Linked DNA regions of Drosophila melanogaster. The gene in region 1 interacts genetically with each later gene. Each region holds a gene or a part of one and is shown in the gene's direction. Other genes may lie near its edges. The genes, in order: dpp, shn, mxc and rho.

Region 1 (4,864 bases):
CGCTTTATTTACGGAAATACTGACGGCTAAGCGACTATTTTACACGCAGAGAAATGAAGTGCAATTTAGCTAATCAGGTAATAGGCAGGCATTTTTACAAAGTGCGTACTTGTTTCCCATAATCTTTCGTTATGTTGTAAGGATGTTATTCCTTACTTTACAACATTTTCATTACATAATGGAATTGTAATTGATTTGAATATCTATATTTCTCTGGGTGCATCGACTGTGTGAAAGTGTTGTCAATGCTGCCGCTTGGCCATAGCCTACAATCGCGATTGGCTGATCGAGTTGGAAAGGAAAATAGCAAGAAATCATAATAACAACAACTAAAATTTTCCATAACCTTAAAAAATAGAAAAAAAATGAGGCAGCTATTTATAAAATGCGCAATCTGCGAGATGCGTGCGGCAATCTGTCCGTCGGTCCGCCGATGCCGCCAGCTGTGTGCCAAGATGCCGCTGGCCCCCCGAAGTCCCCTCTGTGGAGCCCCCGTTGGATCCCCCCTTGGAGCCCCCCGCCGCACTGCGCTGTGTTGTCTGCGTTTATTGATTTATTAGAAAATTCCAATGAACAAGTTTTAATACACGACACACGGCGAACGATGAAGTCGATGTTGTCAGCGTGCTTGTTGTGCTTTTTCTGCTCCTTGGCTGCTTGTTTTGTTGCACTTGTGTTCCTGAGGCAAGCACAATATACGGGAAGAAAGGCTGTGGGAAAGAGACAGAACAGCCGCTGGTAAAAGTAACAAGTGCAATATTTTAATTACATCAGCGGCAAGAACAACAACCAGATCAGCGGCATCAATTGAGTTTGCTGCATGGATTTTGGGCAGCTAGCGTTGCCAGATGGGCACACGAGGCGTATGATTGATATGGTGAGTAAGGCTTGGGGAATCATAGTATCAAGGCCTAAATAACAAATAAAACATTTTGAAGGACAAACAAAATTTTTAAAAATATTAAATAGATCGATGAGTCAAACGGAGCTCATGTGTGTGTTATCTGCAGAGCCTGACTTTTGTGCTTCGATTTCATTAAACTCTCACTTTGGCATATCTCAAAACGATCTAGCTCCTATAACTCGAACAAGCCGAACAATCCGGCAACGCCGATCGACTCGAAAGATTGTCTGCTCGGGACTCTAAGCATTTTGCAATCAATTTAGATTTGCATTAGCAGCGCTGCAGTCTCGAGAAGTCCGCGACTTAGTCCGAGATTTAGAGCCAAAAATAAACCGAACCAGTTGCGGCAGCGCCGAAAAGTCAAATGTGTAACAGCTCTGTGGCTTTGGCTCGAAGAGAGACTTGAAGAAAGTCAAGATATCGCAGCTGAGACAGAAGACAGAAGACTGAACACTAAAGACTGAGGACCGAAGACTCTGTGTTGACTGTAGACTGTGGACCGGAGACTGTGGACTGAAGACGGCGACTGAGAGAGCTGAAATATTGTAATTGTGAGTCTGGCTTGTTTGTTATTGTTGCCTTAGCGGTTGCTTGTTGTTTTTTTGGCTTGATTAATAATTAATCGCACTCGCACACACACACACACACACACATACTGCCTGTTTTAATTACTCAACTTAAATGGCGCTTTGAGCGACTTAAGCAACTTGCCATCGTGGTCGGCAGTGTGTGTGCGATTGACTCTCACTACTACGAGCTCAAAACTAACTAACTAGCTTGTGTTGCTGTTGCTGCTTGTGTTGCTGTTGCTGCTGTGCTGTGCTTTGCTTTGATGTTGCTGTTGCTGCTGCTCGGCTCTGCTTCTGCTTTTGCTTTTGCTGCTCCGTCTCCGGATCGCTTTTGCCTGCCTGCCTGTTTGCCTTGCCTCGGCCGCTTTGGACGCTCATTCAGTTTTTTGCGCTCAACGCTCGTTGTACGGAACCGAAAAACGCGTTCGTTCGTCCACAGAGTGTCGCCAAATCGAGGCGAAAGATCGCTGGTTACAACCGAATATACAGCCTCTAATCACTTTTTTTCTGCTCTGTAATCGTTCGCGGTTTCTGCGGCCATAAAATAAAGTAAATCCGAGTTAAACGCTGATAGTCGCGCCTGAAGAACCACAGAAAAAACAGAAAATATCTCCCGTCGTTTCTCGTTCTCGTTTCCGCGATCGCTCGTCAGCCAGCCAAAGCCTCTCCGATTTTTGATACCGATTCGGTATCAGATAATATATTCGTAACCATCGCCATTCTTGCGAGTGTGCCAGTGTGAGTGAGTGATGTGTCTGTGTGCCAAATCCAAATCGAAAATAGCCAAAGTCTGAGCTTGGCCACCATCGTCAGCAGCAAACATGTGAAGTGCCAGTGATTTCCATAAGCCAAAATCGAAGTCGAAGTCGAATCGAATCGAATCGAAGCCACAGCGAGATAGATAGGTCGAAAGTATTTGAGTGGATATCCGAGTCGAACCAGTGTATAATGTATGCGACGTTCGCGAACTGCCAGAATTGGTTGTTGTTGCAGTTGCAGCCAAAGGATTTGTGGATTTTGGAGCGTAACTGAGCGGCGTGCAGCAGGTGCACCAGGTAAGCCAAGCCGAGAGTGTTAGCAAATAATGCGCATACGCCATGGTGGCTGCGTGTCCAATTCGAGATCAATCGAATCAATTGAACGGCTGTTAAACAGCTGACTGGGAAAACTGGAACTGGGTGCAATGCGTGAGTCACATACACATATACATATGAATACAATGCATATAGACTGGCTGATTACTTATGTATATAAATGTGAAAGAAATAAATACATGTAACTCAGAAGTCAGTGGATTATTTCTGAAACAATAGCAATTGCAGTATATTATGTTCATTTTCTTCAGAGACTTTAGCACTGTTTAGATTTCTAATGATAAACTTTGCAACCATTTCACTTTTATGCATTTACATTTATGAAGACACCTAAAAAATCTATATTACTATGAGGAAATCTAGTTTGCTTTAATAAGTTTGCCAATAGATAAGTCCCTTCCGCCAACTTGATATCACTGCATAAAGTTTCGACAGATTTACGCCAGTATCCGGGGAAAAAGTGAAATTCTATCTCTGGACCCCGGACATTATCAGCAGAGACATGTGGAGATCGGGTGTCACTTGCATATTCATGGGGGCCAAGTGATGAACTGAATTAACGGCATTCCACACCAGTCACAATTAGCGGCTGACACTGACATTGGCCATGGTAAAAAACCCTTTGACCATATGCCATATACTCGTTAATTTATGACGCCATTTGGCTAATTGAATAATTATATGTGACTGGCTGGGCGTGGCTGGGCAGGGCTTGCTTCGCTTAGCTTTGCTTTGGTTTGGTTTGATCGATCACGATTGCATAAGCCATCCCACATGGGATCGGAATCAGCATCGAAATCTGAATCTAAATCTTAATCGGTATCTATATCGATTTATTCGATTTGCCTTGCTAATGCGACTGGGGGCACTAAATCAGTGTCAAAGTTCACCCCACTAGGCTCAATTAGTTTATTAACTGCGATTTGCATTTGCATTCGCAGGGCGCAGCAAGCCCGTTGGTTAGGTGGGAAATTGATAGCTTCGAAATGTGCAAAGGTACAGAAATAAAGCCCGATAACAAAACTAAGCAACCGCAGCAGCAGCAGCAGCATCAGCTACATAGAAGCAACACATCAGCAAGACAGAGCAGCAATATAATGAGATATAGCTACACAGATATAGCAACAGCTGACGATGAGACCATGAAGGTCTACCACTTTCGGAAATTCGACGAAAATGAAATAAAAATCGTGAGCACGCAATGAAGCAGCCAAGTTGAAGTTGGCTTCCACTTCCATGCCATCCCATCACCATCTCCATCTCAATCTTCATCTTGGCCTGGCAAATCACGTTGCTGATAACAACAACTGAGCAATGCGGCAATAATTTGCTGCCCATGCCCGCTTCGCCCCGCTCTCGGCCAAGTTAAGTGGCTACTGGTCATCAGCAGGCAGCAACAACTGGCTTAGGCCAACATTTTTATCAAAAGTGGTGGCATTAGCAACCGCATCCCCCCCGTTGGCCGCCGAAAGAAACTGGTCAGTCTCTGGAGGCTTGAGACTCCCAATAGTTTCACTTATTTTACACGCATTTCTTAACGATAAATAAATTCCACAAGCAGATGCGGCCAGCAACAGCGGCAACAACAACTTGGCCCGGTCAGCAACAACTTTTGCTATCACGTTTCCATGCAAACAACACACAGCCACAAAAATATTTCCATTGGTATTCGCTTGTACTTGAATTGCCCCACGAAAGATTGTGGGGGGGGGGAGGGTGTTCGAACAAGAGGCTGCAGCAGGTGGCAACTGCAACTGCAACTAATGCTTCAGGTGCTTTTGGCCCGGACTTTGCACCTCAGTCTACCGTTTGGGCCATTCCGATGCCAGATTTCCGCCTGATGTGGCGCCTCAAGGCAGCCGAGAACGATATCCGATATCGCTGGCTGCTGCTCGATGGGTTTATGGTTTATGGGATACACCTTGACTGGAAAACCAATTGGATTGCACAAGAAGTGTGATTTGATAGGTGCAAACTTAAATTATAATTATGTGTTATTATATCATAATCATAGCAAGAAACGCTAGCTAACAATTCCAATATGTATCAATATTCTGACTATGTCAACTATCTAATAATATTAGTTTACATTTTTATTTAAAAGTCGAGCGAGCCCAGCTCAATCACCTGCTAAACTTCTATGCTAAACGAAGATGAATGAACTTAGCTTCAAGGTGGCCAAACGAAACGACACGATTTGGCAACGATCTTCTGTCTTCTGTCTGTCAAATCGAGAACTGATCAATTTTGCTTTTTATTTTATAAATTCTCTCTCGAAAATATATTGTATAAGGTCA
Region 2 (4,548 bases), on another chromosome or scaffold:
ACTGCTTTCGCACTGGAACTGGAAGGCCTTCTAGCCGGGCGAACATACACACGCACACGAACAATTTCCAATTGGGCGCCTGCGCCAATTGTAAACAAAGAACAGCTGTTCGAACATAGTACATATATTCGTTTTCATTGACGATGGAGCATAGTATAACACAGGGGGGGGGGGGTGCAGGGGGGTTAACTCTGAACATAAGGATGAGTGATGTGATTAGGGTGGTCACGCGTGCGGCTCTAATAAATATCAATGATTTGTGAAAATTCTTAAAAGAAACAAACCACATTTATTGAAAGTCGTTTAGGCCAAACATCGTATATCTTCCCATATGAATTTAAATTGAAGGGCGGCCGTTGGCGTTTTGGGGCTGGCAAATGAGGCTCAAGGCCACGCCTTTTACTTGTCACTTTGGCTGGGAATTCTCACAGCTGTCAGCCAAAATCCCATCCACTTGACATCGCCATCGCCAATGTTCTGCGATATGTTCTTCTTTTCTTCACATATGTACATATTTTCGCCAGCACTTAATTTCCTTTGAAGCCGCATTATTTCAGCCTTTCGACACCAGGCGTTACGAGGCGTTGCGGCTCGAACAGCTTTCGACTGGGCCCAAAGTGTCTGCCTTAAATGAATCGGAAACATTAATGGCTGTATCAAAGAATAGGACGCCTTCATTTAAACGTCTTCATTTAATTCATCGAATTTGCTATTTTTATGCATATGAATATTAAATTAAGTCGAAACATTACTATCATTGGAATGGATACGATTCTATGTGCAGTAATTAAAATGTGTTTCAACAGAGTACATATCTTAGAATCAAACTTCATCTATAATTTAGAATAATTTTTAAACCATGAATTAAATGTTTATCTTCGTTATTTTCGCTGCGAGTTGCAGCAGCTAGTTTATAAGGTTTGTGTGTTCGTCCCACCAAGTTTATGATTATTAAAATATATTATAATGACATGTTTATATTTTTAGCAACTCCTTATAATTAATTTATCAAATCGCCTAAATCAATGCTTTTCCACTGAAGCACCATGTTGTTTTTTGATATTGCATACATTTAGGCTTAGAAAAGTATTACCTTTTTATCAATTGTGTGGATAATCTTAAAAATGTAAATTAGCAAACTGATAAAACAGACAACCCAGGTATTATCACAGCGCAGGTAAGCCAAGTAAATAACGCTTATCATCTGGAGCTCCTGCTATTGGCATTTAAGCTTTGGACACACACACACACACACAATACTGATAAGGCGACTCTCTTAGCGAACTCTCTTCGCTGCTCTGTGAGTGGGAAAAGAAAAAAGGTAAACAGACAAGTTGAAAGGCGATTTTCGATTGAAACGAAACGGCTGGTCGAATTGAAAGCCACTTACGTCGCTCTTTGGCTCTCTCATTTGTGCGCCAAAAGAGAGCTCACTTTGGGTGTGCTCTTGGCGTTCGGGCTTTTGGCTTTGGCTTTGGCTTTTGGGGGCCTAACGGATTCTCGCTGGCTCTGTTTGTCCGTGAACGCCGACGTCGACGCACGCCTCTCGTTTTCGCGCGCTTCTCGCACTTCTCGGTAAATGCGCAAAAAAGCCAGCAACGAAATCAAATCAAGTCAAATCGCAACGCATGGTGAATAACATGTCCGTTTTATTAATAGATTCCGCAACAGCCATATAGCGCATATTTCGAAAGAGATATATAATATATATGAAATAAAGTGAGGCCCTCGGATGAAACAGTGTTGATAAGGAGTGTACATACATACACACACGCAGCACATAAAACTGAAAGAATTCGCGGCGCGCGCGATTTAGTTGCGAATATTGCGTATACGCAGGGTCTGTCAAAAGTAATACAAATCAAACAAAACCTACCACAACAAAAATAAGGAACGGCATATCAAACCGAACATTTCCGAATTGAGGTTTTTTTTACACAGCGAGCAGAGGATACGCCTACATGGATTTATATAGCACAATTACAGCAACCAAGGATACTGAGACTTGGGCAGGATAGCAGCGATGCCAGCCAGCGGGTTGCAATCTCCACCAGGTCGACAGGCAAGCGGCATATCAGGATAATACCAGGGACTTGGACATCATGGCTCCTCTATTTGTCTAGTTGGCAAATACCAGCGAACCGGGAACCAGGCCACACACACACACACCCATACACTCGCTTACACACACAAACACACACACACGCGCGCGCTCATACGCTCAGACAAACAAGGACGCTTGTCATTGTGTGCGTCAAGGACGTCGACACACGTACAAGCTTTGTTGCTGTTGTGCCATACAAACAGACCAGAACCAGTGTCGCAAGTGGGCGTGCCAGCGGGTAGGCGGCCTCTGATTAAATATACATCAGTCAAGCGCAAGGATCCTAATTTCCAGCAGTATTGTTCTGTGCAAAAGGACAACGGGACAGCGGACAGCGGACAGCGCCAAAACGGGACACCAACTTTGAAGCAGGGAAAATGGCGCGACGCAAGGGCAGCGGTCGAGGCAGTAAGTACATTTTCCTGTTAATTATTCAAATCAAGCGTGAGTTCGAAAATATGCCAGCGAAATTCCGGGAAATTGCCTCTTCTCAAGGATTTTAAGCTATTTTGCAAACGTTTCCATAAAGTGTTTACAAGGAAAAGGGACCCAATATCCACAATTTCTATGCTGACTTTTCTTTGGAATCTTTATATTTAGTGGTTCTATTATAAGATCGAACTTTGACTGCTTTGTTCTTGATAACAAATTCACTCCAAGTAGTTTGTTGATTATTAAAAGAACTCCAGCGGTCTTAAAAAAATTGGGCTTCAGCTCAAGGACGACGAGTTTCACAGCTGCCATATGGCAAGACAGTAAGTCCTTGCTTCAGAGCTTCAAAGAATCTCGTCAAGTGCAGTGATTTTTTCTTGGCGGCTCAAAGGGAAAAATATGTAATTAAGAATGTATGTAGTATTCAGCCACGCCCCCACTCGAAACCTCTGGCTGTATCTATAAGATATATATTTTTTTGCATTATTATTTGTGTGCCATGAGTGCTCCACTCGCAAGAGAGAGAGAGAGAGAGAGGGACGGGGCGAGAGCAAAGAGAGGGAGGGCATGCATAAAACATGAAACAACAGCGTCAGTAGTCACTTTTCATTGCATTGCGCCCACGCCCAACCACCCACAGTCCCCTTATCATTTTAATTCAGTTGCGTTGGCGCGCGCGCTGCAAAATGTTGGGGATTCCCTTACGTAATCCCCCAGCGCACACAAAAGGCAAACAAACAAACAGGCACACAAACAAACGCACACTCACAGGGCAGCGGCAAACAAAACAAAAACACAAACGAAATGGGCAAAAGAAAGGGGGAAAAACAGAGAGCTGAAATAAAGGAAAACAGAAAGCGGGTGAAAAGCAGAGAAGCTGAAAAACAGAAGAAAAAAAAAACGTAAAAACAGACGCAAACAAGGCAGCTTGTTTGCCAGCCAGTCGCAATCGGAATTGCCCCATGTAAAATGGTCTGAAAATCAAGCTCAGCCAGCGTCATGAACTTTTGGCGCAGCTCACCCGCTCAACAGGCAGCCTAGCTCACAGATACGCAGATACAAAGATACAGATACAAAAGGCGCACAGTCACAGATACTCGACTTGCACATCCACAATCGCTATAGCCGAGATACTTTGCGTCACGTCACGCCGCCTGTTAGTCAAGTTGCTCTGTGCGCTGCGTTACTCATGCCACAATTTGAACCTATTAAAAAGCCAGATACTTTCTTGTGCCCGCCCCAACCCGCGACATCCGCAGATACTTTTGCCAAATGAGATACAAGTGTGCTGCCTGGCTTTTGATATATGCCAAGTACTGCTCGCTGGGCGGATACAGTGCGCATTCCATCAGCTGCAGCTAAATGCTTTAAATGAATTTACTTTTCATTTCAAAACCAAACCGACTAGGCAACCAGTAATTGAATATATTCAATCCGATCAATCACTTTTTTTTTATTGAACTTGATTTAATTAATATGTCACAACGTGAGCGTTTTATTTCGCCTTTTGAAACAATAAACCAGTAATTAAATATAACATTCTTAAATAAATATATTAAAACTATTTTATAGCATTTTAAACCAATTATGCTGAAATGTTATAAATATTTATATTCGAAATATTATTGTTTTAATAACAATAATAACAACTTAACTTTTTAAACAATGTTGTTGAGACTTTAACTCAACCATTTTGTTTTGTAAACCATGACCAATTGAAAATACTTGGCAACTTGGAGAGAGATTATTTGAAATACTTCTTAAATATATTTCAAAATCATCAAACCTTTAACATGAAAGTCGTCCTTCCATGGAGTACCCACTGTAGCAGGCGCAACATGCTCAAAGAGTTTGGCTCCAACTTGACTTCCAGCTGCCGATGGGTTTTGGTTTTGGTATGCAGACGACTTTGGGTATGGGTTTGAGTATGGTTGGGGGAATGGGAATAGGAATGGGTATGGGTTTGGGTTTTGAGTTTGAGTTTGATCTTTGAGGTTGGGTAGCTGGGCCGA
Region 3 (7,556 bases), on another chromosome or scaffold:
TACTTATTGCGCATACTGCTCCAACTAGTCTTGGGTAGCACCTTGAGCTCCAGGGCACTGGGCTCAATGTTTGGCTTGTCCACGATCGCCTTCTTCTTGCGCTTGCGACGGCGCTTTTTGGCAGCTTCATCGCCATCGGTTGCCTCTGTTTTGTCCTCCTGCTCGGAGGCTTCGGCTGTGCCCTCTGCATCCGTTTCACTCGCTGTTTCCCCAGCTGTAGAGGTCTCGCTAGGCTGGCCCTCCTCCAACTTAACCCGTTTCACCTCGTGTATCTCCTCGCGATCCTTGTCGGTGGCCTCCCTTTTTAGATTTCGCTTTGGCAACTCAACCTGTTCAGCCTCTGACTGCGGCTGCTCCGCTTTCTGTTGTATCTGCTGCTGCTGCTGAAAGGAGCGCACACTGGCCAGATCACTGGGATCGGTTTCTACGGACAAAACGCCCTGTATCTGGGCAAAAGCCTTCACAGCTTTCTCCAAGGACCCGCTCTTTTCGAACTCGATAAAGGCAAATTCCTTGATCTTCTTAGTGCCCGGATAGTGGGGCAGGGACACGTAGGCCACCGGTCCGTAGCGGCTGAATACCTCCTTCAGCCAATCGTGAGTGGCATTTGCAGGCAGGGCCTCTACATACAAGGTTTTGTCGTTGACATCGCGCTGATCTGGTAGCTTGGTACGTCGCTTGACCTTTAGTTCGGTCTCATCCAGCTCCAGAAGCTGGGAGTTGCTTAGTGCCTTGGCTATCTGCTGCACATCCTGGGTGAGCGTCTTTATCTTATTGAAAGTGAGAAAGATTTCCAATGGTACATCTGTAAAAGAATAACATGATCAGTGTTATGTTGGCTGGTGAGCCAACCTTAGCTACTCACATGGATCCTGCTCTACGTAGCGCCGAAGGAAGCGATCCTTGCTCAAGTTGGCGTCACCGAAGTAGAATTCCATTTGACCGCGAATCGAATTGAACAAATGCCTCTTCCTTTTGCGTCCACCATCCTTTTTATCCGGCGATGCGTCTTCCGGCGCCGGTTCTTTGGAATTTTCCTCAGCTGGTTCAGTGGGTGCGGCTGGATCGGGTTTCTCCGCTGATGTCGCGGGCTCCTGACCCTCGCCCTTCTCCTTCTCGATACTCTTGGCAGCCATTGAGTGCCAGTTAACCAGTAATCTAAGTCACTCGAATAAAATATTGCACTTGGTTTTTGCGTTCTGATCTATTTGGCAACGCCGTCTAGTTATGAATTGCTGGGATGCCAGGTATTTGCAGCATTCCCATATCGATAGTTTAACGAATATCGGATTCTAAGTACTGTAACGTACACATAAAAACGAATTGAAGCAAGACCATCAAAGCAATAAAAACTGCTATAATTTGTTTTAAGCGAAAGAGACGTATTTCTTTGCTTTAATTATTACCATTATTTCCCACGCTCCTAATAAGGCTTGGCAGCCAAGCGCAAACAACGGGACTATATCGATAGTTCGGCGCTGTGGCAACCCTACTGCGTTGTTTTGGCGGGCGGCAAAAAAAACACAGATGCTATGCTAACCTATGTGTGTTGTACAGTGCGCCGCTAGAATCGGCAACAACAAAACGAAAATAGTCGGCGAATAGGCGAGAAAATGGTTTATTCTCTCTCGAATTAAAGCGCTGATTCAATTCCGACTAACTATTGAGTGATTAAACCTGCAACAGTCAATAATAAGGCATTACAAGTGCGTTCGATAAACCTAAAGTCTTGCAAGCGAAAAAAAAAAGAAAGGCAAGGCGAAAAGCGAGTGGATGGTGACGCTTAGCTGAGTCGGAAAGTCCAGCCATGGAGTCGATTGTCCTGCATTCGGACGTGGCTCGCTTGGTCCTGGGTAGGTTTTCCCTGGACGCTTTTCTAGCTCGCAATATTTATGCTCTTCCATTTTGTAGGCTACCTAGTCAACCAGAATCTAAAAAGGGCCGCACACACTCTGTGTCGCACATCGCCTCACCTGCGCCACGAGTTCCTGGCCCTTAAACAGGGCCTGCAGACGCACAACTTCCTTCACGGGGGTCTGGAGGAGATAATCTGCGAGCATGTCAAGATCACAAGCTTGGGTAAATTAGCACGCTCCTTGCGTTTCTTTTTTTTTGCGGCTGACCGAAAATCTCTCTTTTCAGTGGCCGGTGCCGTGCAGAAGCTGCCGCTGGATATGCGTATGCAGCTGCAGCAGATGAAGCTGTCCGAACGGGTCAGCGAACTGATAGCCGCCGGCGAGAGGAGTAGCTGTACCAATGAAAGCAGCACCCCAGGCGAGCCCACCATATCACAGTCGCATCGCAAGAGAAGGCGCTTGTAATTATAGATTTTTCCTTGACACAAGCACATCGGAATTCTCATTGCTCTCTTACCCCTTTTCCCCAGGCGCACCCATTCTCCCGTGAACAGCATTTCTTCGCCTTCGTTTAGCAAGCGACCGCGTCTGCTGCCGCCACACTTCTACTGCAGCGTTAACCGCGACAAGGTCAGGCAGAGTTTCCTAGGCAGCCAGGATGACTGCGAGGCGGAACTGGACGAAGAGGATGGCGAGAGCACAACGGCCACCGAGGACTTGGAGGAGGATGACTTACTTCCGGCGAATGGTCCTGGTCCGCGCAACAATTCCACGCCGCGCCAAGGTCATACCGAGTCCAATCCACTTCTGCTCACGCCGCAAAGCATGCCTGTAAGTCCATAGACATGCTTAATGCATATCTGCTTAATTAACCAATAGTGCATCTATTATGTATTCTAAACAAAAAACACTCTTTCGATTTACATTGATTTCAGGAACTGGCCTGCGCGATAATTAAGAATCAGGACTTCCAGGAGACGCTGGTAAAGAATATTAACGTAGCGCTGCAGACGGTGACTGTTAACAATCCGTCGGTAAGCTGTGACGCCATGTTGGATGGTCTAGTGAAGAACATACTGGAGGCCACCGAGAAGGATCCCTCGTTCGATCGCATCATACAGGAGGTGGTGATCGGGGATGAACCATTGGCAAATGAGGAGGACCCTGGTGTGTCGCCTGCCTCTGATGCTGCTGGGGCTGCTATTGTTCCCGCTGCTGATGGAGATGTGCTGCCGACAGAACAGGCCGTGGATCCCGTGCCGCCGCAAACACCGCTTATTATTCGCACCGCCGTTGCAGCCACCGCAGGAACCAATGCAGATCCCAATTTCTCCATCTCCAAGCTTATCGTACTGAACTCCAACGAGAGTGTCCAAAAAATGGTTGCTGGTTTGGATACGTCCAATATCAGCTTTACAAGCGAAGGCCTCAATATAAATTTTGCCGATCCAGCGTCAATGCTCAGCGAGGTGGAGGCGACAGCTGCTGGTCAGGTTTGTGTGGACGCCACCACCGGGCAGCTGACGTTTCCCATGTACCTCTCGAACGGTGGACTGCTGTCGCATCTTCCATTCCTGGTGAACAACGAGTGGGTAGCCCAGCAACTTGGGCCGGATGCCTTTGCCAACATTGATGACTCGCACATTGAGATATCGCTGCCGGAGCCGATTACTCTGTCTGCCAATCAGCTGCCCCCCAATTCCATTATCATTAGCAGCGCCCAGAAACAACCACCTCCCCCAAGCGTGGAGCCTCCAGTCCAGTTGATAAAAGATGCAGCCAAAGTGGACAACAAGGCGGGCCAGGGAACGGCGGCAAAAGAGCAACCGATAGATCAACTAGAGGAGGAGCAGCGAAAGTTTCCACCCGCATCCCTGGATTCATCTAGACAAGTCATGGAGAGAGTGACACCCTCGACGTCGGGAATAATTAACGTAAAGGCCTTTCGTAGCTTATCCACTCCCCGAAAGAGAACTTCGCATGTACGAACATTAACTTTTTCCCCTAAGGTTCCTCCTGGTGGCGTCCTGCATTCCAATACGCCGCTGTCCACTAGGCGACCTGGTTTGCTGGCCAAAGCCCAAGAGAAGCCAATTATCAACCATGTGGAGATCATCCAGGCCGCCTGCGACCTGAGCTCAAACGAGGGCCTTGGAGGAGTGCCACCACTCTTCGCCATGGAGGAGTGCAGCAATCAGACGGTGATCAGGGCCCATCCTCCAGCTGCCGCTCCGTCAGCAGCTCCGGTTCCTCCGTTGGTGGCCACGCCCAAAAGAAAACAGAAGCGACAAGCAGCGGTCAAGGCCTGCAAGCGAATCATCTCCCAGGCGGAATCGGAAACCAAGACGGATAAGGATCAAAAGAAAATTATGCCCAAAAATAACTCTGCCTGCAGCGCATCGTCGACCGCTCACGATGACAGCGCCGAGGCCAGCAAAGAGAATCTCCAGGAGCAGCAGAAGATTGAAGGAAAGCCAGATGTAGGCTCCGCCGCCAGAGGAGACGCAGTTGTAGATAACGATATGGCCGCCTGGCAGCGCCAGTTGCATGGCTCCAATTCTGACCTTGAAAATCGGCTGCGTGAGATTAACTCCAAGCGCGAGGAGGTAAAGGCCTCCGGCCGCTCGAGGCGTCCAAAGAAGAAAGATACACCCACTTCAGCTTCGTCGAGAGCACGAAAGGCTCCAATGGTCAAAGCGAAGGCGGAGCCCATGAATCTGGCAAAGAAACCGCAGCGCAGTGTTGGGGATTCCACTGAGAAGATCAACATCAAGATTATCACTCCTCAGAAACCAAAGCTCCTGAAGAAAAAGAAGGTGTTTGAGGCAAAAGAAGAAATCATAGACGAAACCATAGAAGAAACCATAGACGAAACCCAAGCGGAGATCGAGGAAAAGGATCAGAAGAAGAAAAGTGAACAAGGATGCATATATGCAAAGGATCAGGAGCAAGCGAAGGCCTTAGCGGCAGAACTGTCGCGACCCAACATGGCCATGCTTCTGGACACTCCGTTTAAAGCATCTCCCATTGGAGCAGGAGCAAGCGGAGCCGTAGAAGATGACACCACATCAAAGGAAGCTGGTGTTGGTGTAGCCGCTATCATCCCACCCACGCCAGGAATGGCCATTCCACCTCTGGACACGCCATATGGCAAGTTGCCCAGTAGCAGCTTTCTCTTTGGTTCGGATACCAAAAGTATTATGGATACGCCCCAGTTGAGTGCCATCACACCTGGATTTCGCTTGACACCTTTTGGACAGATGCCCGGTACTCCGATAGGCAGTGCTGCCAAGACTGAGTACTCTTCAGGCAGTTCCTATTATCGTCCGGATGAAGCGGAACACACCGATGCGAATGCGCAGTGCGCAATACAACAGTGGGGTGATCCGCAGGATAAGAAACAACCCAAGGTTCGGTCAACGCCCAAGAAGAAAAAGGTTGAGGCAGAGGATGAGCTTTCGCAACAGAAGAATCAAGAGCTAATAGAAATGGAGTGTTCAAAGAAAAGCCTTCATCCGGAGGACAAACATGCTGAGGACAATAAGAAAACACCGAAAAGACCAGAGAAGCCAATGGATGAACATCTGAAGGAAACTGAAAACGATGGTGAAAAGAATGAAACGGTTTTAGAAAAGACACCAGATGCTGTGAAGCAACCCGTTGTCCTGTCCTTGGAGCCCACCGTCCTTCGACGCGTTCGATCCTTTGGCAGTGAGGCGGTGGACAGTGCGGAGTCCGCTACAGCTGGCTCATTTCCCTCCGATCAGCAGCAGCTTCCGCACTATAAACTTTTGCCTGGCCTGCCCGAGGCAATTATTGAAGGATCTAGTAATTCTAGCTCCTCGGCAACCAGTTCATCGTCCTCATCCAGTTCGAGCTCAAGCTCCTCCAGTAGTTCATCATCGAGTTCCTCATCCTCGTCAAGTTCTCACAGCGGAAAGGGGGAAAGCAGAGGGGAAGAGGCAAATGGCGAGAATGCCGACGAAAAGTGCAGCAAGAAAAAGGAGATGCTACTAAACATAGATAACTTATCGAACATTAGCAGCACGGAAGACGAAGAGTGGCTGAAGGCAGCCGGTTCTGAGGATGCAGTTCTGCCCATGCTTGCTATCGACAGTCAGCCAGGTCAGTTAGTTAGCCAGGACGGGGAGGTCCGCTATCCTATCCGGAATTGGCTGACACCAAGCAAAGAGCAGGCCCAGGAGACGGATACCAGTGGAGAACAGCAAACAAAACCTACACCTCCTAAACCGGTGGCTGCTCCTGTTCCGCCTCCGCCGCTTCCTCTAACACCGCCAGCTGCTCCTCCGCCGCCTCCACCGCCTCCGCCAGAGGCGGACGATCCTTCATCCGTCGCTCTTCCAACGGCCTCTACAAGCCGTCAGGAACACCAACGCCAGCAGCTGAATGAAAAACGCCAACGTGTAGTGGCCAAGTTTAAGGAGCAACCCCAACCGATCAAAGGTCAAGGGAGAAAGACTGCCAACAAGAAGCTCACTGCAATGCGTGAAAATGCCAAACTGGCCAATCCAAGCAGTCAAAAATCGCCAAAAAATCGAAAGCACATCGAACCACTGAAAACAAAAGCAGCTAAAAAGCAAATAGAACCAAATCCGAATGTTAAGTCCACAGAGGCTACTGGTCCGCCAGTCGGTGCCGCCACAGATGCGCCAGCAGATCCGCCAGCCGGCAAATTGGATCCCGCTCTGCTCATGGCCCTCAATCTATCTGCGAAAAAACAGGAATCATTACCGATTGTAATCAAACCAAAGGTAAATCGAGCAGCGGTTGAAATTGCGGCACAGCCTGCCCCTGGAAAACGTGGACGCCCGAAAAAGGTACAGAACGGGGAGCCAGCCAATCTCTGTATGCGACGATCCTCGCGCCTAGTCGAAAATAAAAGTAAGTAGTTAAGATCCAATCGAATGGGTATTGAAACTAATATATTGTCTTTGCAAAACTAGCTCCTGCTCCGGAAGATCTCTCCAAATCCACTGAAGGAGCAAAGACGAAGACCCAAATCAAGGCAAATACCAAGAAACCGGCCAAGAAACGTGTCGAGGCAAGGGTACCCTCCTCCACAACCGATGCTCCGGCACTGCCCATTGTAGCGGAGGCGGAATCCACCCAAAAATCTCCAAAGCAAAAGCCGCAAATTCAGCAAACAATACAAGAACCTAAACAGGATCCACCGCCATCGAAATGCGATTCGGAGCCCGATGACAGCGACTTCGAGCAGGACATGTGCCTGAGCAGCAGCCAGGAGCGTTTTACCTATAATTTCACATATGCGGACAACGGACCAAAGTCCAGCAATCCGATGATACGTCAGCCATCGAGCTATTTCAAAAGCTATCAGATGCGCTTGATGACCGATGACGAACAGCTGCATACGCTGCGCATAGCCAGTGCCCAGGTGCTCTGTCTGGGCCAACCGGTGGCCAGCGCCATTCGCAATATACCCAAGAAGCGGATACGCCGCCTGACCGGCAATAGTGGCGGGACAGCGGCAACAGGGGGAAGTGCAAGTGTAAGTGGAGGAAGTGGAACGGGAGCGGAAGTTGCTGCTGCTGGCGAACAGCCTTCGGCCACGTCTACGCCGCTGGTGGAGAAGCCCCCATCCAGGAGTGGGCCGCAAGATGAGGAAGATCTGGAGGTGGCCACCATGTAAGTGGTGAACATATGCATTTTATTTTTTGT
Region 4 (7,523 bases), on another chromosome or scaffold:
CGGGAAGCGCAAGTGGCGGGCGGAATTTCCTGATTCGCGATGCCATGAGGCACTCGCATATGTTGAGCACATGTTTTGGGGGAAATTCCCGGGCGACGGGCCAGGAATCAACGTCCTGTCCTGCGTGGGAAAAGCCCACGTCCTACCCACGCCCACTCGGTTACCTGAATTCGAGCTCGAGTGTTTTGGGTGGCTGAGATTGCTTTGGTACGGTGGCTGACCTTGCCAGTGCCAGTGGGTCCATGTCCGTGGAGTGCTGGCAATGCGTGTCTGGCACAATGAAAACGCAGCAATGGAGGATGGAGGAACTCGACCTGAGGGAACGTGGGAAAAAAGGATTTACGATGAAGATGAGCTGAGAAACTCCGAGCTGATGACGTGCCTGGTCATGGGCATGTAGTGCAGCAACTGTGTTTTCGTATCTGCTTACCTGTTGCACGCACATGTTAAAAAGTCATCATAAATCTCAGTGGACGAGGACGAGGACTCTGAATCTGTTTCGCCTCTCTTTTGCGCCCAGTGAAAATATTTTCACTTTTCATGCGGGAGTTTTCATGCCGCCGATGAGGATGACTGGCCAGGATGGGTATATCTATCTATTAGATCTGTGTAAATTCCCAGCTTATCATGCAAAACACGTAACCACGTCGTCTCGATCCTTTCGGCCAGGAAGCCGAAAGCTACTCCTTTTGTGCAACATGCCGTGGTGACCTTTCCCGCGAACTCGTGACTGCAACGGCTCAGGCTGCCTAATAATTTGTATAAATATTTATTTTTGCTACCGATTTCTATCTGCTCGCTCAACGCCTCCGAGGGAGCTCTCGCTGGAAAAGGTGTGAAATTCGAAACCCCTGACAATGATGATCTTCTACGGGGAATCGGGGAATCAAGGGGAATCAGGACGGGGCTCGGTTTCGAATTCGATTCCATGACATGTTCTGCATTGCTGAGCCGATATACTTTATTTGCATTTTTGGCCACTTGCAGTGGCACGTTCCCTTAAAAACAACAGAATTATAGAAGCAATGTTTTAGCTATTGAACGGTTACGTATCAATAGAGGAATTTTAAAACTATTTCTAAGCAAGCAAATAGTTTTGCTAGTTTTTTTAGTTTAGAAACTAATTTACATTACCATTGTGAGCAATTGTGACATTGAAGTTATTTCTGGAAACTATTCGAAAGTGCGGAGCTAAAGAAAAAGCGACTGCTACTACCGATTTCATCATCTTTAATTGTGTTAACAATTTGTTTGACTTTCTTGTCTTTGTTTAAAGGCATCGACGGGAAACTCAGCAAAACAATGGACTTGGTACCTTTACAAATACAACTAAAATGAGCTTAAACCTCTTCTAGTACGTTAATATATATTACTAGTAATAATATAAAATGAGATAAAAGTCGGTTTTGCTGAAAGGCAATTAAACGCAAAGGCCTTGCTAGAATTTCGCAACATTGCAGAGATTAGAGCTCAGATCTGCGTAGTAGGCCATGACAAAGCGCAGATCGCTGGAGATCGGCGAGAAGACAGAAGACAGAAGACGACGCATTTGTTAGTCAGTGGCATTGGCAAGAAGTGCTGGCCCGTCTGGATGAGTCATTCACCGTTATGTGGCAAGGCGGCAGATGGGGGAAACCAGTGAATAACCAGCGACGAAAAACCTTCGAACCGCTCGCCTCGAGCTGCAGCAGTCGAGTGACTGCAGTGCGCACACCCCACCCACCCACACAAGACAAGATCCGGATGTGCCATGCAACACTTATACGGCCGAACCAAAACACAACATGTTCGAAGTGGCTCTCTTATACTGCACCGCACAGCGAGCACTTATAAAGGCCGGCTGCCTTGCCTTTCGAAAGTCAGTTGCGTGCGAGCCGCGAGCGCGAGATCATCAAACTGAGAAAGTCGGACTGCGACTCGAAACTGAAATTGAAACTGAAAGAAAGAAATATTCAAATTGTCGTGTGTGTGGGTGCAAGCAGAGAATATATATCTCAAGAATATCTGAATACAAGCTCCTGGATTTACGAGCAGCAAAACTAAGTTACCAATGTGCGAGCCGAAAAAAGCGAGTGAAAAACGTGCGAATATGCCAGCTAACTAAAGACATTTGGATTACAAGAAACCCACGCATTTTGGATTATAAACATTGCGACAGGCAGAAAAACCTAAGGTAAGCCCCCGACCCTAATGAGAAAATGCGCGAGAGCTAAAAGATACAAGATACAAAATATGAGTTGCGAGATACAAGCTACAAGCCACAAGGGATATGCAAGAAATGTGCAAATTGCAATAGAAATTGTCACAGCGGCAAAACAAAAGCATTTCAACTTAGAGGCGTAATGAGTTTGTTCAACCTGTGTGCCCGCTCGCTCTATCTCTCTCGCTCGCACCCTTTGCCCGTTTTTTTTTTTAGGGGTGCGAGTGCAGCAGAAAGCATAAAAAATGCAAATTACACCGCGGGCCATGTGAAACTATGTTTCTGACCAAACAGACAAAAAAAAAAAATGAGAAGAAAGAAATGATGAAAAGAAGGCCGAATGAATTAATTCATTATGTCTTAAAGCCCGCTTTCGACATCTCTTCTTCATGCTCGCATGGACATTCGGTGCAGTCTGCAATTAAAGTTAATAAATAAATTAATTAATAAGCGGCCGACTGCGATTTCGTGCCTTATTGAAATTGCTAGGCAACCGAAATGAAGAACATGAAAAGAGCGCCAGCCAAGGCACGGCACCCACTCACTTTTTCGAGCAGTGTAGGTAGCAGACACAAAAGCAACAACGGTGCGTGTGTGCAATGCGACTTGAGGCGAAAGAGAGAGAGGGGGCATATGCGAACACAATGAGTGTGAGTGGGAGAAACGCGTTTTTTTAAGTTTATTTTTTTTTTTTTTGTTGAGCAAGGCAATGAATTTGTTATTTTTTTTCCTTGTTGCGACGAACAGTTGTTTGGGGAATTTAAGAAGATTTGTGCTGTGACTGTAATTGAATCGAATGCGATTAACATAATTTGTGAGGAAATGTCTCTGGGCAATGAATTACAATAATGCCTGGCCATTAGCTGATTAGTTGGCCATTAGCGAAGATGATTTCAGGGCTGAAAGTGCAGTTTATGTAACGGCGTAGATGCTACACAAGCTACATCTTCAATTTTGTCCAGCTAATTTCGGGCCACAAAAGCAAACTTGGCCCATCAAATTTTATGGTTAGCTCACACAAGCTGACCCAGTTTTCCCTTCGGGGAAAAGCAGCCAGGAAGTTGCAGGCATCGGAATCCGTGTCCCAGGCCATAAACAAAATTCTTACCCACAAAGAAGCAGGCTTTTCCTTCGCTTTTCTTTTATTTCTGCTGCATTTCCCCACACACTCTGGTTTTTCTGAAGTGTTGTAATTGCTCTTGTTTTGTGCTGCGTTTTATGAATAACTTATGCACTTAATTGATTTTTGTTTATTGTTCGGTTCAAGTTAATTAATTACACACTTTATGCGCTCCTCTCTTTCTCCAGAATTTCTTCAACGGCGCCAGCATGGAGAACTTAACGCAGAATGTAAACGAAACCAAGGTGGATTTGGGCCAGGAGAAGGAGAAGGAGGCGTCGCAGGAGGAGGAGCATGCCACCGCCGCCAAGGAGACCATCATTGACATTCCCGCCGCGTGCTCCAGTTCCTCCAACTCCTCGTCGTACGACACCGATTGCAGCACGGCGAGCAGCACCTGCTGCACCCGCCAAGGCGAGCACATCTACATGCAACGCGAGGCCATCCCGGCCACGCCACTTCCGGAGTCGGAGGATATCGGCCTGCTGAAGTACGTCCACCGCCAGCACTGGCCCTGGTTCATCCTAGTGATCTCCATCATTGAGGTAAGCACACACACAGCGAACTCAGTAACTCAACCCATTAAATCAAAGAAGCCGCAAACTTTCATCCCAAGAGCGATAAAAATGATATAGGGGGCGGAAAGCGGCGACGAAGGGCGGAAGTTTTCCGAGAGTTTTCCTCGCTTTTCGTGTTTCGTTTTCTGCGTCTGACTCGCTGGCGCCCCCGAAAATCGATTGTAAACAAGTTGAACAACAAAACAGCCGAAGGAAAAAAAGCGAACAGAAAAGTTTATGAAACCAGACCGTTCGTAGTTTTTTCTTTTTTTTATTTTTTAAGGGCAGACCAAAAATTGTCATGTGAAAAACAGTGGAAGATGAGAAGATGGAAATGATAGTTAGTTTGATAGCGAAATTGGTAACTTGGAACATTGAGTTTAAAATAAACAATACACTTTTACATGACCCCTTACATTCGTATTGGAAATAATTTGCTTCGTATAGAAACTAGCACGAATATCAAATAAACAGGGCGGCCCACGGGGCGTATGAGTTTAGTGAGTTTGAAGCCCTGCCAAGTTGGCAGGACTCGCCCCTAAGCATTCTCATAAGACTTTATTTGGAACGTGGTCGCGTGCCAGACAGCAACAACATAAATCAGAGCGAGAGCCCAGAACTAACCCCCAATTCTTTGCGTCTCTGTCCATTTTAGATTGCCATCTTCGCCTACGACCGCTACACAATGCCCGCCCAGAATTTCGGGCTACCCGTTCCGATTCCGTCGGATTCGGTGCTGGTCTATCGGCCGGACCGGCGTCTGCAGGTGTGGCGCTTCTTTAGCTACATGTTCCTGCACGCCAACTGGTTCCACCTGGGCTTCAATATCGTCATCCAGCTGTTTTTTGGCATTCCCCTGGAGGTGATGCACGGCACGGCCAGGATCGGCGTGATCTACATGGCGGGCGTTTTTGCCGGATCCCTGGGCACCAGTGTCGTCGACTCGGAGGTCTTCCTGGTGGGCGCCAGCGGTGGCGTCTATGCCCTGTTGGCCGCACATCTGGCCAACATTACACTGAACTATGCGCACATGAAGAGCGCATCCACGCAACTCGGATCCGTTGTCATCTTTGGTGAGTTTCCCCACACCTTATGACTAGAATCTATAGAACCTAATCTATCCTACCTAAACACGAATTTGTCACATCTTTTTCTTCTATGTTTAACTTAACTAACTTGAATCCCTTCTGTTCTTCCATTTGCAGTCTCCTGCGATCTGGGCTATGCTCTCTACACCCAATACTTCGATGGAAGCGCCTTCGCCAAGGGTCCCCAGGTGTCGTACATTGCCCACCTGACGGGAGCCCTGGCAGGACTAACGATCGGCTTTCTGGTGCTAAAGAACTTCGGTCACCGAGAGTACGAGCAGCTCATCTGGTGGCTAGCGTTGGGCGTCTACTGTGCCTTCACCGTCTTCGCCATCGTTTTCAACCTGATCAACACGGTGACCGCTCAGCTGATGGAGGAGCAGGGTGAGGTGATTACCCAGCATCTGTTGCACGACCTGGGAGTGTCCTAAGTTTGAGGTTCGGAGTCGTCAGCATGCTCGCAGGGATTCGGAATCTGCTTGAGCTTCAGGAGAGATCGAGAGACAGAGAGTTGGTGGAAAAGAAAAGTTCACTCAACGATTTAGTTCAAAACTAATTCGATATTCGTTTGGCTTTTGCTTTTCGTTAGCATTATCTCGTTATCGTTACCGTTTGCAGTTAAACGTTTCAGTTCCGAAACATAGTACACAAACTCAAAAAAAAAAAAAACAAATCAAGAGAAATACACTGGACAAAAAGAAAGTGCGAGGAGTGAGGAGAACATAAACCGAAGCCGAAACGTGTAAACAAATGTTGTGATAGAACCAAAGACTGAATTTATTTCGCGTGTAAAAACCAAGTAAAAATCAAGAGGAAAATCAAAGAGGAGAAACAGAACTAATCGCCTCTCGCTATGATTTAAATGATTTATCCATGTTTTCAATTAATGGTTTGTCTGTTTTCTTAAATTATGTATTTATTGGCCGCAATTACTACGAATGAATCGAATCGAAGCATCAGCAAACTGTATCAAATTGTTTATACATCCATAAGCATAATGTGCTCCGAATTGTAGGATTTAGTGTTATAATTTATATATATTTAGGTATAACTAGCCCTCCTAACAAATTGTTTCAAATTGTAAATACTATTAAGTCGCACACTAGTCAAACAACAACAACAGCAACAGCAAAAACAACAAAAAAAATATGGAAAACCACAGCAAAGAACCATTCAATTCAGATCAATTAAGCAAATCGAGTTAAATTAAATTAAATTATACTAAAGTCACTTAATGCGTTACAAAATCGAGCATCGTAATCCCCTACACACACACACACACACACACACTCGAAAGTATTACTAATTATATTTATTTATGGTAGGGCAGCGAGGGTTTATTAATTCGTCAATTGAGCGAACTATTTATTTATTTATTTATTTAATAATTTAGTGAAATTCACACAAACAAGCACGAAAAAACAACAACAACACAAGAGAGAGAAGAAACAAACCAATTCAACTGTAAAAATATCCAATTGAAAAATACACACGAAAAGCCAAAGAAAATAAAAAATCAAAACATTTCAAGAATACAACAGTAATAACAAAATACAAGCAAAAGCGTTTTCATTTCCCATTTTGTATTTTTATTTTACTTTCAGTTTTTGGCTGTCGGCTCGCTTGGTTTTAATTCCCACAATTTAAGGGCAATAAATAATCGAGCCAGCAGATTATCAAGATACTTGACATATTGACCGATACACATATATATATACATATATATATATATATATCGTACGCAAATAGAGAAATATTCAAAGTAATCGCCGAATGAAAACAGCTAATCTGGCATAAAGGCCAGCAAAGCGTAAGCCAAAATAGAATCCTTTTGGGCCACAAAACCCCAAGATAGCATACTCGATTTTCCAAAATAATGGATCCACACTCCACCCGATGAAAAAAAAAAAACAAAACAAAAAAATAAAATAAAACAAACTAGGAAACGGAAATGTTCAGCACGAGACAAGGGACAGAAGAAATGCAAATAGCAAAAAATTATAGATAAATAAATAAGGAGAGAAAAATTGAACAAAAATAAATGTCTAAATTATATATGAATTTCTCGTTTTCTTCACAAATAACTCAGGGCGAGTTGAGCTTGTGTATGTATGTATCCTCTGCTGGATGAGTTTTTTGGGGGGCAGCCCAATCAATATTTGCTCCACATAAATATGGCAATTCAAAGCGAAAGGTTGCAACTACAACTAAGACTCGAAGAAAATCCTTAATTAATACCCACTCCGCAGAAGACTTGTGTCAACGAATTTTCCCACTCGAATGTTGCCACTGCCACCAATCGATAGTTGCCCCAATATGAAATATGAAGGCGCAGCATACGCATTTTGTAATAATTCATATTGTCTGTGATTCCACATCTCATGCGAGTATTATATTCAATCCAACTGGATTAGCAGGACTAAGTCCATGAATTTCCAAATCGGCATTCAACTCGAAGGACTTGAAGCGAACCAAAAACATTTGCCAGCTGTTTGCGTTTAGTCGACTAATGCATACCTATTAGCAATAAGCACTTAATAGAAAACTAAAGCAGAAAC

What was found.
Region 2: of dpp (region 1) and shn, changing one suppresses a phenotype caused by changing the other (phenotypic suppression), as found in Drosophila melanogaster (2 studies listed by BioGRID).
Region 3: of dpp (region 1) and mxc, changing one enhances a phenotype caused by changing the other (phenotypic enhancement), as found in Drosophila melanogaster (one study listed by BioGRID).
Region 4: of dpp (region 1) and rho, changing one suppresses a phenotype caused by changing the other (phenotypic suppression), as found in Drosophila melanogaster (2 studies listed by BioGRID).

What each region holds. Positions count from the first base shown.
Region 1 is NT_033779.5:2,426,523-2,431,386, forward strand, and holds the start of dpp (decapentaplegic), read left to right. Parts: upstream 1-1,849; 5' UTR 1,850-2,528; intron 2,529-4,864. UniProt on the Drosophila melanogaster protein: Required during oogenesis for eggshell patterning and dorsal/ventral patterning of the embryo.
Region 2 is NT_033778.4:11,172,294-11,176,841, forward strand, and holds the start of shn (schnurri), read left to right. Parts: upstream 1-1,509; 5' UTR 1,510-2,481; coding exon 2,482-2,512; intron 2,513-4,548.
Region 3 is NC_004354.4:9,237,456-9,245,011, reverse strand, and holds the start of mxc (multi sex combs), read left to right. Parts: upstream 1-1,544; 5' UTR 1,545-1,807; coding exon 1,808-1,853; intron 1,854-1,911; coding exon 1,912-2,079; intron 2,080-2,142; coding exon 2,143-2,317; intron 2,318-2,386; coding exon 2,387-2,687; intron 2,688-2,791; coding exon 2,792-6,758; intron 6,759-6,820; coding exon 6,821-7,523; intron 7,524-7,556. Other genes in the region: Larp7 (La related protein 7), read right to left, coding at 1-805, 866-1,136.
Region 4 is NT_037436.4:1,461,958-1,469,480, forward strand, and holds rho (rhomboid), read left to right. Parts: upstream 1-1,853; 5' UTR 1,854-2,173; intron 2,174-3,508; 5' UTR 3,509-3,529; coding exon 3,530-3,865; intron 3,866-4,532; coding exon 4,533-4,950; intron 4,951-5,082; coding exon 5,083-5,396; 3' UTR 5,397-6,987; downstream 6,988-7,523.